2 linked regions of the Caenorhabditis elegans genome follow. The protein of the gene in region 1 purifies or fractionates together with the protein of each later gene. This does not show direct contact. Each region holds a gene or a part of one and is shown in the gene's direction. Other genes may lie near its edges. The genes, in order: cri-2 and mltn-1.

Evidence for each region.
Region 2: the proteins of cri-2 (region 1) and mltn-1 fractionate together in Caenorhabditis elegans (co-fractionation; one large-scale study listed by BioGRID). This does not show direct contact.

What each region holds. Positions count from the first base shown.
Region 1 is NC_003283.11:8,200,028-8,203,141, forward strand, and holds cri-2 (Putative metalloproteinase inhibitor tag-225), read left to right. Parts: upstream 1-1,780; coding exon 1,781-2,005; intron 2,006-2,146; coding exon 2,147-2,353; intron 2,354-2,397; coding exon 2,398-2,442; 3' UTR 2,443-2,496; downstream 2,497-3,114.
Region 2 is NC_003280.10:13,139,133-13,147,076, reverse strand, and holds mltn-1 (MLt-TeN (mlt-10) related), read left to right. Parts: upstream 1-1,851; 5' UTR 1,852-1,919; coding exon 1,920-2,161; intron 2,162-2,957; coding exon 2,958-3,109; intron 3,110-3,297; coding exon 3,298-3,466; intron 3,467-4,198; coding exon 4,199-4,554; intron 4,555-4,638; coding exon 4,639-4,763; intron 4,764-5,419; coding exon 5,420-6,010; intron 6,011-7,103; coding exon 7,104-7,598; 3' UTR 7,599-7,733; downstream 7,734-7,944.

The sequences.
Region 1 (3,114 bases):
TCAAAATTTGTCGTTTGAAAGTTTAACCTTTAAGTTTGAAAATGATACGTCTTAATTGTTTTTTTTAAAAATCGGTATCACTAGCTTTAAAAAAAAGTGCAAAAACGTTAAAATGGAAAATCCCTTTTCTTGAAAACCGAGAGATGAAGAGAACCGAGACATACAAACAAAACTCTCCGTAGAACGGCCTATGGTGACACTCACAAACAACAACATAATTGGGAGAATTGAGAGAAATAGTGGGAAAATGCGGAAATTTAGGAAAAAGAGGTTCAATGAACATATTTATAGAGACAATTGTTTTTGGACGGGAAAATGTGAACTTATGGGCTATGAAAATTTTTATAAAAGTACGATTACTTCCTTGCCGGAATTTCAATTTCAAATAATCAAAGCTGATAATTTAGTTCAAAATAATATTCCACAATAATCATATAATGTTTAATTTTCAGTAGTTTCATTCGGGATAGTTGTAAAGAACAATTTTGTGAACGATAATTGCAAAAAAATCGTCTTTTATCCAAAAATCTCATGGCAAACAAAATTATATTTCAAGCTTGTTTTCAAGCTTTAGAATCACATTTTTCAAGCTTTAGAATCAAAGAATCAGAAATCATAAGAATTTCATTTTAAGCTTTGATTACCACATAAATCATTTGGTATGGATGAATGATGCTTTTCGTTTTTTGGTTTTGTGACCATATTTTATGAGTCCACCGGAATTTTATAAAAGCTCGGGTCTCTGAAAAAACTGCTATAAGCCAAGCTGAACATTCGCTTGAAACAAGCGTGAAATGAAGTATACTGTCAGTTTGTTCAATTATTAGCACGGCAGTTGGCTATTGTCATTGAAAGTGAATGTTTGAGTGAGTCTCTACGGATTGAAACTTTTTTTTTTGAAGTTTGATGAATGGTTTGTGAAACAATATTTTTGTGTCTCGTTTTTTATTTTATAAAGTCAAATATTCCAAAAGTCCAATAGTGAATCACAAACTTTGGTTTATGTTTTGCAGCATTGTGAAGAAGTTGTTATTAGTCTCGATGCCATGATGAAGCTACAATAGTCTTGGGTTATAATAGGTGAACATTAAATTTGCCTGGGATGCTATAACAGAAATTTATGCAGGCCAAGGAGTTTCCGTGCCTTCGCAAACTTTTTTTTTCTACATATTAATTCAATCAAAACTTATTTCTTATGTACATGCAAATTAAGTATTCAGACTCCAGTTTCCAAAACTATTATTTCCAGAAAAATGTCTGTAAAATAGTGAGTTTGGAATTTCTATCAAAATCTCTTTTCAGTTATCTTTATCATATTTCAAGACGTCATAATAATGATTCATCACTTATTCACCATCTTTCATTTTTTTTTGTCACACTAATGTTATTGTTACACTTCCTGTCTCTCATCGTCTCATATCTCTCGGATCTCTGTACTATATCTACTCTTGACCGATTCAATTCGCTCAACCAATGTCATCTCACGATCAGTCTTGGGTTGAACTATCAACAAAATAACTATTTTCTTTTTTTTTTGTTTGTTTCAAAAACAAAAACTTGAGCCCAAATTTATAGATTCTTGTATTTTTAAAGTTTATGATATGAATTATTTGGCTAGAAAAATGAATTATTTGAGCAAGTTAATGTTATTTTGCCATCAAAAACAATTTTTGTGTAAAAAAATATATTATTACCAAAATTTTCCTGCTTTCTTCATGTTTCATTTTTTTCATTTTCACAATTTTTTTTCACCTCGAATTTATACTAATTCCATTTTCAGATGCAAAATTTATCTTTATCTCTAGTCATTCTATCAGTTCTCATTGCTGTAACTCTTGCTTGCAAGTGTAGAGAGCAATCAACCAAGGAATCATTCTGCAATGCTCACTGGGTTTCTCATGTCAAAGTGAAGGTCCGTGTAGGAAAACAAGGACTTCCAGAAGGATCCGAGAGAAAGGGATTGAATAATTTGAGATACACTGTGCAACATGTCGAGGTTTTTAAGGTAAGCGAGTTTGATTTATTTTACCCCGCAGGTGCTAAAAACTTACTGATAAGCTTATATCAGCGTTCTATACAACTGAAAGTAACATGCATTTCAAACTTACAGAAAAATGTTTCTATGTCAAAGTTTTTTTAATTTCAGAAACCATCCAACATGACAACTCTGCCAGATGAAATTTTCACTCCATCAGAAGCTCCAGCTTGCGGGCTCAAGATTGCCGCCGGTCATGAATATCTACTTGCTGGTCGTGTTGAAGGACCAAATGCTTTGTATACTGTTCTTTGCGGTCAAGTACTGCCAGATGACAGATCTCAAACGTCATTTGAAAACGTTCTTGAATGGAAAAATGTGAGTTGAAAATGCTGTTTGCTAAATAAATTGTTAACTTCCAGGTTCCACAGACATTGCAATCTCAAGTCAAGTCTATCAAATGCTAGAAAGAAATAAAAACGATTTTATTAGTATTTGATAATAAAACTTTAATGAATCTGATTAAATAAACTTACAATTAATGAAAAAAACTTTTAAAGCGAAGCTATGATAAAACAAACGATATTTTCATGTGAGTGAGCAGAAGTTATTGTTTGTAAAAAATTGAAAGCATTATTTTTTCAATAATCGGTATTCGATAATCAGAGGGTGACAGATGTTTTCAGCTGTAAGACTACAAAGGGTGAAAGTCTCACTACATGACTACACGGTCCCTATTGATGGCTACACTGAAATGGTTCAACAGCGCCATTCACATTTTCAGGTGTTCTATATATGTATGTGTTCTCTGCCGGGAATATTTTGTTCAAAACTTATAGCTTTAATCTTTGAATAAATCAAGAAAAAAATTCCTATACCCAACATCTATTAAAGTTATCTTTGGAGAAAAATTTCATGTTTCAGGTTCCTGTTGAGAAAATGTTTCCAAATTTGCTCGGGTGCTCTGAGATCAGTTTTAAAATGAATAACTGTGTAAAACTGTTTGAGTTTTCCAATGTTTGTCGTTGAAAACTGTCGTGGAATATTCATAAAAAAATTTGTCAACAACATTATGAACACGACTTTTTTATTCAAGCACATTTCGCTAAAACCTTCTGTTTTTGAGTTCTACCGATTTG
Region 2 (7,944 bases), on another chromosome or scaffold:
TACTAATTTAAAATTTGATTTTAAAAATAAACACGATTTTTTTACTACGAAATGAGCTACAAAAATCAAAGACAATTGAAGATTTCACAATTTTTTAAGATGAAAAAAATATTGAAAAATGTTAAATTCCGAAGATAAGAAATCAAACTTTTTTCTTTTGTAAAAAATATATTTGTTAAATTTTCGGCAAATTTATTTTCCGGCAAATTCGGCAAATCGGCAAATTTTCGGTTTGCCGATTTGCCGGAAGTTTTCATTTTCGGCGATTTGCCGATTTGCCGTTGCCGGCTCAAAATTTGGCGGAAGGTTTTAGGCGGATTTTTTAAAGGACGGAAACACTTAAGACTGTGCATTTTGAATTTTTTTTTCCGTTTTCTGTAGATATTTTCATAGAATTTGCTTACTTTTCAAAATAGATGTAGGAACATTCATGAGAAATTAAAGTGCACACAAGAGACAGCTATACTTTAAAAGCCGAAAAAGAAATGTAAGTCATTGATTGTTCAATTGCCGTTCGGCAAATTTTTTGTCGACAAATTCGGCAAATTGGCAAATTGCCGATTTGCCGGAAACTTTTATTTTTGGCAATTTGTCGATTTGCCGATTTATCGGATATTCTCAATTCCTGCAATTTGCCGATTTGCCGGAAATTTTGATTTTCTGCAACTTGCTGATTTGCCGGAAACGTTCATTTTCGGCTAATTATCGATTTGCCGGAAACTTTCATTTTCGGCAAATTACCGATTTGCCAATTTGCCGGAAATTTTAATTTTCGGCAAGTTTCCGGTTTGTCGATTTTCCGGAAATTTTCATTTTCGGCAGTTTGCCGATTTTCCGAATTGCCGGAAATTTACCGATTTGCCGGTTTGCCGTTTGCCAAACATCAATTTGCCGGAAATTTTTAGAGGGAGTTTTTAGAAGACAGAAACACTTGAAACTGTGCCTTTTTGAAATTTTTTCCCGTTTTTTCTAAATATTTTCATAGAATTTGCTTATTTTCGAAAAAGATGCTGGAACATTCATAGAATGCGTACATTTTTGCCGATTAAAATTGAAATTCTAAAGCTTAAAAAAATTGAAAAACCACAATTCGGCGAAAATTTTCGAAAATCTCCGTTTTTCCGGCAAATTCGGCAAATCGGCAAATTACCGGATTGCCAACAAAAATTTCAATTCCAACGATTTACCGGTTTGCCGATTTGCCGGAAGTTTCAATTCCGACGATTTGCCAAAAAATTTTTAATTCCGGCAATTTGCCGATTTGCAGGTTTGCCCAAAATTTAAATTCCGGCAAGTTGCCGATTTGTCAAAATGCTAAATTTCTGCAATTTGCCGATTTGCCGATTTGCCGGAAAAAATCGTTTGTAGTTTGCCGCCCAGCCTAGTTTACCGGTACACTGTGTGCATAAATCGTAATCAAATATAGGGATCCTATTGGATATCACTCGAGAAAACTGAATTACCGTATAAAACTTCTAATCCTTCCAAATCCGAAGAACCTGAGAAGTTGTCAAACACACATACAGGGAACAAATAGTTTTTCGCATTTTCAAAGATAAAAACCAAAACTTGAATCCTTTTTGACCGCCCCCCCCCCCTTCAAACTAGCATCATTGAAACAATGCGCATTCCACGTGATATGAACACACACATACACACTTCAATCTTTATCATCAAAATCGTGAAAATCAGGATCAAAATGTGGCCACCTGTTATGCTATAGATCTTGGTTCAACGGGATCATCTCCCATCCTTTGAGAACATCTTCTCTCCTCGTCACGGGAAGGCACCGCCCAGCAAGTGATAACCACGTTTTGGAAAAACTTTCGGGATGAATCCGAAAACTCCGCCCTCTTTACATCCAGAAATCCATAAAATCACAGGGAATCCCTTTTCTCTGGTCTCTGGTTTACCACATTATGATCCTATTCCCTATTATTTTATTTCTAACACTTCTACCGTATCCATGCACCTGCTTAAAAGTTAAATCGGAAGTAGATGTGACAAAATATGGGTTGACGCAAAAAGAAATCTTGAAATCTCCACATTATAAAGACAAAGTTTTCAATGTTCCCATGTCGACAGAGTCTGGAGAAGAGCTCTTGGAGCATTGGGCGGTTCAAGGATTTTCCGGAGTTGTCGCAGCGATTGCTACAAGAAGGTGAGATCAGACTTTGTTATTTTAGACCTAAAATGGTCTAAAGCTACCGAATTTTGTGATGAGACGTTCTGAAAATTTTTCAAAAAAAAGTTATGGCCGCTCAAAGTTTTGGAAAAAATGATCTTTTTTTTTAGCTAAAATCTCAAATTTTGGCAACTTTTCGCGGCAATTTTCGACCGGCAATTCTACAAAATGAGACAGTTGGGCATGTTCCCCATAAATTTTTCATTAAAATTTAATGATACAATATAGAAAAATATTTGCTTTATTTGAAAATAACTGTTATTTTAGTAGAAAAATCTCCAAAAATAGTCTGAATGTTGACAATTGCCGGTTAAAATTGCCGAAAAAGTGGCGGCAATTTTCACCGGTAATTTTCAATATTCGGACAATTTTTGAACACTTTCTCGGTTGTTCCAAGTCAAATAAAAGTTATCTTCAAATAAAGTAAATATTTGTCTATATTATATCATGAAAATTTAATGAAAAATATTGTGGGAACATGTCCAACCATCTCATTTTGTAGAATTGCCGGCTGGCAATTGCCGCGCACTCTGAAAAGTTGCCGAAATTTGAGATTTTAGCTAGAAATTGACCATTTTTGCCTAAACTTTGAGCGGCCATAACTTTTTAAAAAATAAATTTTCAGAACGTCTCATTACAAAATTTGGTAGTTTTGGACCATGTTAGATCTAAAAATGGCAATTTCTCAAATTTCGTTACTTAACATTTAAGAAAATACGCATTTAATGCCACGAGCAATTTGTTAAATTTGTTAAATATATTAATATTTCAGACTAGCCCTTGTTGAAGACTACCAAAAAAAGAGCCATGAGAAATGCTCATCCGAGGCTGAAACTCTTTCGGAGCACGCAAGTTGCTTGCTCAAGCTAGAAGACGACGCACATAGAAATCGATTGGTTCATAGGAGAAAGCTCTTCAGCAGAAGTGAGCATTTTAATTTTACGTAGTTTAAAAGGTAAACATTTCTAGTTGACTTGAGAATTTCTGAAGAAATTTTCCCAATTTTGCCCAAATTTTGCCCAATTAGTCGGCTTGCTGTACGAGCTGACAGCCAAAAAAAAAAATCAGCTAGCCGTTCAGCCCTGATCCCCACTGTACTGAACATATTCCAGAGATGCGTCGCCGAATCGATAAGATGGTTACCAACACTACAATGACTCCAATAACTGAAAAAGAGATTCGGGAAGATAAAGAATGGATTGGGTCATTCAAGTTTCGGGCAAAACGAGAAATTAGAGTGCACACCAGAGATAGCTATACTTTAAAAGCCGAAAAAGAAATGTAAGTGGTTGAGTGTTGGCGGCAAAAATTGTTTATTGACAAAAAAAATTGGCAAATCGGATTGCCGGTTTTCGGCGAATTATCGATTTTCCGGAAACTTTCATTTTCGGCAAATTACCGATTTGCCAATTTGCAGGAAATTTTAATTTTCGGCAAATTTCCGGGTTGCTGATTTTCCGGAAATTTTGATTTTCGGCAAATTGCCGATTTGTCGGAAATTTTGATTTTCGGCTATTTGCTGATTTGTCAGAAATTCTCAATTCCGGCAATTTATCGATTTGCCGAATCGCCGGTTTGCCGGTTTGCCAAATTGCCAGACGTTTTTAAAGATAATTTTTATAAGACGGAAACACTTAAAATTGTGCCTTTTTGAAATTTTTCCCGTTTTCTTTAGATATTTTTATAGAATTTGCTTATTTTTTTCAAAACAGATGTAGGAACATTCATCGAATGCGTACCATTTTGTCGACAAAATTTGAAATTCTGAAATTTCCAAAAAAGTACAAAACCACAATCCACTATTTGTCGACAGTTTTCGGCAATTGCCATTGTCCGACAAACTCGGCGAATCGACAATTTGCCGGTTTGCCGGTTTTTCGGAAGTTTTCAATTCCGGCAATTTTTTAATTTGCCAATTTGCCGGAAGTTTTCAATTCCGACAATTTGCCGATTTGCCGATTTAAACAATTTGTTTGCTGCCATAAAATATGTATAAACCGTAATCTGTTCTAGGACACCATTCGGCCTGGTAACGAGACATCTCTCTAGCGCTGTGAAACTTCTCAAAAAGACGGACAAGGTGTCAAAGTGGCAAGATACTATCGAACGAATCACCAAGAAAGCCGAAGAAATCAAAGAGCAAAAGAAAATGGAGGATTTTATGCAAAAGAGAATGTCGATTTATGCAGATGCAGCTGAAAAGATGAAGCAGAATAAGAAGATTGCGAAGGATGATAGTTTAAAGGAGTTCAACGATTTGGAGCAATTTATAGACAATGATCAGATTAAGGAGGTGTTGAGGAATAGGAAGAATAAAATGACGGAACAGGAAAAGTTGATGATGATTCCGATGAAAATGATGAGAGATGGTTAGTAATGTGAAAATTTTTAATTTGGCCAAAAGATATATTTTTACAAAACGAAACCTTCTAATTATAATAAATAAAAAACAGCCGCCAAGATGGGATTGGAAATGTCGGGTCACAATACAACAGATTTCGATCGGAAAATTGTCAGAATTATCAGTCCACGTCTTATGAGTGTGATTCCACAAGAAGAAGCTGCAAAGAATAATGAGGTAAGGGACAGGCGTGTGCGGCAAATTTGGCAAATTTGCCGAAGTTGCCGAACCCTAACGATTTCGGCACCCGGCAATTTTCGGACTAGCCGAATTTCAAAAGTTTCGGTCGGCCAAATCAATTTTGGCGACCGGTAGTGGCCAAAATTGCCGCTTGCCGAAAAATTCCAAAACCGGCAATTTTCAAGTTTGCCGAACCATAACAATTTCGGCAACGGGCAATTGCCAAAAATTTTCAAAACCGGCTATTGCCGAAATTGTCGATTGCCGAAAAATTCCAAAACCGGCAATTTCCAAAATTGCCGATTGCAGGAAATTTCGAAAACAAGCAAATCTCGATAGAAAACAAAAATTTCCAAAACCAGCAAATCTCGAAAAAAATGCCCAAAACCGGCAGTTTCTGAAATTGCCGATTGCCGGAAATTTTCAAAACCGGCAATTTCCGAAATTGCCGATTGCCGGGAAATTTCCAAAACCGACAATTTCCAAAATTGCGGATTGCCGAAAATTTCTAAAACCGACAATTGCCGAGAGTTTCCAAAACCGGAAATTTCCGAAGTTGCCGATTCCAGGGGCGGCAAATCACGAAATTTGCCGAGCTCGGTCAGTTTGGCAAATTCGGCATATTTGCCGGACACAATGTTCGAAATTTACAGATTGATCTCCTCTCTCCTTCACTATTTGCTCTACACGAGGATGGCTCTGGAGTAGAAAAGAAAGCATCACTCGGAAACATCCTAGGATCTCTCACCGATAACAAAGACTCTCAGGATTTCTTGGATTTTATTGTGGAAGCAACTGGTGTCAATGAAGCGATGGAACGGGTTGAAAGAAAAATCGGAGAGTATCGAAGACTCAAAGACGATGCGATGGGAAGAGGGCCTGAAGGTCAACCGTTGTACTTCACAAAAGAAAATGTAACAGAAAAATATCCGCATGAGGCGAGGAAAATCGAAATGTTCGAGTCTTTGGATAAAACTTATACCGATGAGCAGCTCAAGGAGATGAACAGAACAGGCTATACTATTATGAGACATGATCAGATGGATTTGATCTACGGGAAGGGATCAGTGGGGGAAAATGAGAAGTTCTTGAAATTGGCAAAATCAATGAGCAGACCACAAATCGATAGAGCTATTATGGGAACAATCAAGGACTTGGCACATGAGAAAGTCAAATTTGAGGCAAAGAGAAATGATATTATTTTATCACCGATCACATTTAGTAACTTCATTTTGGATCCAGTGGTGAGTTAACTGGCCTGTGCGCAGGGGTGCATGACAATTGCAGACCGGCAGTTCTACAAAATTAGACGGTTGGGCATGTTCCAACAATATTTTTCATTAAATTTTTTATTTTTTTTTCATTAAAGATACAATATAAAAAATATTTGCTTTACTTGAAAATAATTTTCACTAGACTTTTAAATAGCGAGAAAGTGTTCAAAAATAGTCTGAATGTGGAAAATTGCCGTCAATTTTTCGGCAATTTTCACCGGAAATTTTCAACATTCAGACTATTTTTGAAGATCTTTCTACTAAACTAACAGTAATTTTTAAATGAAGCAAATATTTTTTATATTCTATCATTAAATTTCAATGAAAAATTTATGGGGAGCCTGGCCAACCGTCTCATTTTGTAGAATTGCCGGTCGACAATTGCTGTGCCGGTCGACAATTGCTGACTGTGCAGCAAACATACAAAACGGCTTCAATATTTTCAATATGATAATCCAATTTTTTAAATCTAAAATAGGTATAGAAGTGTAGAAAAATGTTTGTTCTATCTGAAAATAATATTTATGTTTGTTGAAAAGTTTGAAAAAATTTTCAAATAGTCCCTGGAAGTTATCGTTTGCCGAAATACTTTTAACGGCATTTTTTTCAGCAAACGGCAACTTTCTGGCACAACTTGAGGCTTTTTAAGAGATTTTTCAACAAATATAAATGTTATTTTCAGATGGAACGAATTTTGTTTAATATATAGAAACATGTTTGTATATTCTGAAAAGAATTTTACTTTTCAGTGAAAGTTTTGAAAAATTGCTCGAAGACTATCTTAGTTTCGTAATGTGCCGATCAGGGCTATCTGAAAATTTGCAGAGCTCGGCAAACTCGGCAAATTCGGCAAATTTGCCGTTCTTCGCAAACTCGGAAAATTTTGATTTTTAAATATTTTTTGGAGCACCAAAATTACTGTTATTCATAGAAAAATTTTGAATAGTGTAATATTGCCATTATCAGTGGCTCTGTCTCAATTTTCTCAAAAATCGAACGCTCTTACTTGAAAATCTGGAAAATTTATTCAAAATTTTCCAACAAAAAATCTCCCATATTGCAGGCTGTCTCCCAACCGGCAATCCTGTCTCCTGTCATGCTGTCATCACTGATCCTCTCTCCAGCTGTCTACGGAGTAATGATCCTTTCCCCATGGCTATTGGTACCTGTCATTCTTTCCCCGCGTCTTCTATCACCAGTAGCTGTGAATCCGTTCCTGCTGGTTCCGATCATTCTATCACCTCTAGCCTTTAACCCATTCATCCTGTGCCCAGGATCCATGAATCCATTCGTACTTTCCCCGCTCATCTTCGCCCCATTCATTCTCTCCCCACAAGTACTGACTCCACTGATCTTGACTCCGTTCTGTCTCGGACCAATTATTCTGAACCCACTGGCGTTGAGTCCCCTAGTTCTGTCCCCATTCGTCTTGTCCCCGACAATCCTCTCTCCTCAGTATGTGACTGCTGTCGTGCTTTCTCCATATGCTCTGAGCCCCGCGTGGGGATCCGATGGAGCTATGGTCACCGTGTTTGCCTCTCCAAGTTGGCTTTCATAACATATATATATATATATATATATATACTTCACTTGTGAATTTATGGGTCATATATCTAACTTCTCAATCTACAACTATTACATGTACAATTTAATAATTGATTATTTTTAATAATAATAAAAATATAATAATTTTTATTTTGACTTACACTAAAACAAATCCAGACAAGATAGTCTAAAGAAAATATTTTTTAAGCTGTTCGAAAACTGGTATGAGAGTGGATAAAGATTAGTTTTCTGAGCGTCTAACAAATTAACAAATTACATCAAGATACATTAAGTGCTCCTCTCAAGCAAGGAGTGTTCGGCAAGTTAGCCAAATTTGCCATTTGCAGACCTCGGCAAAT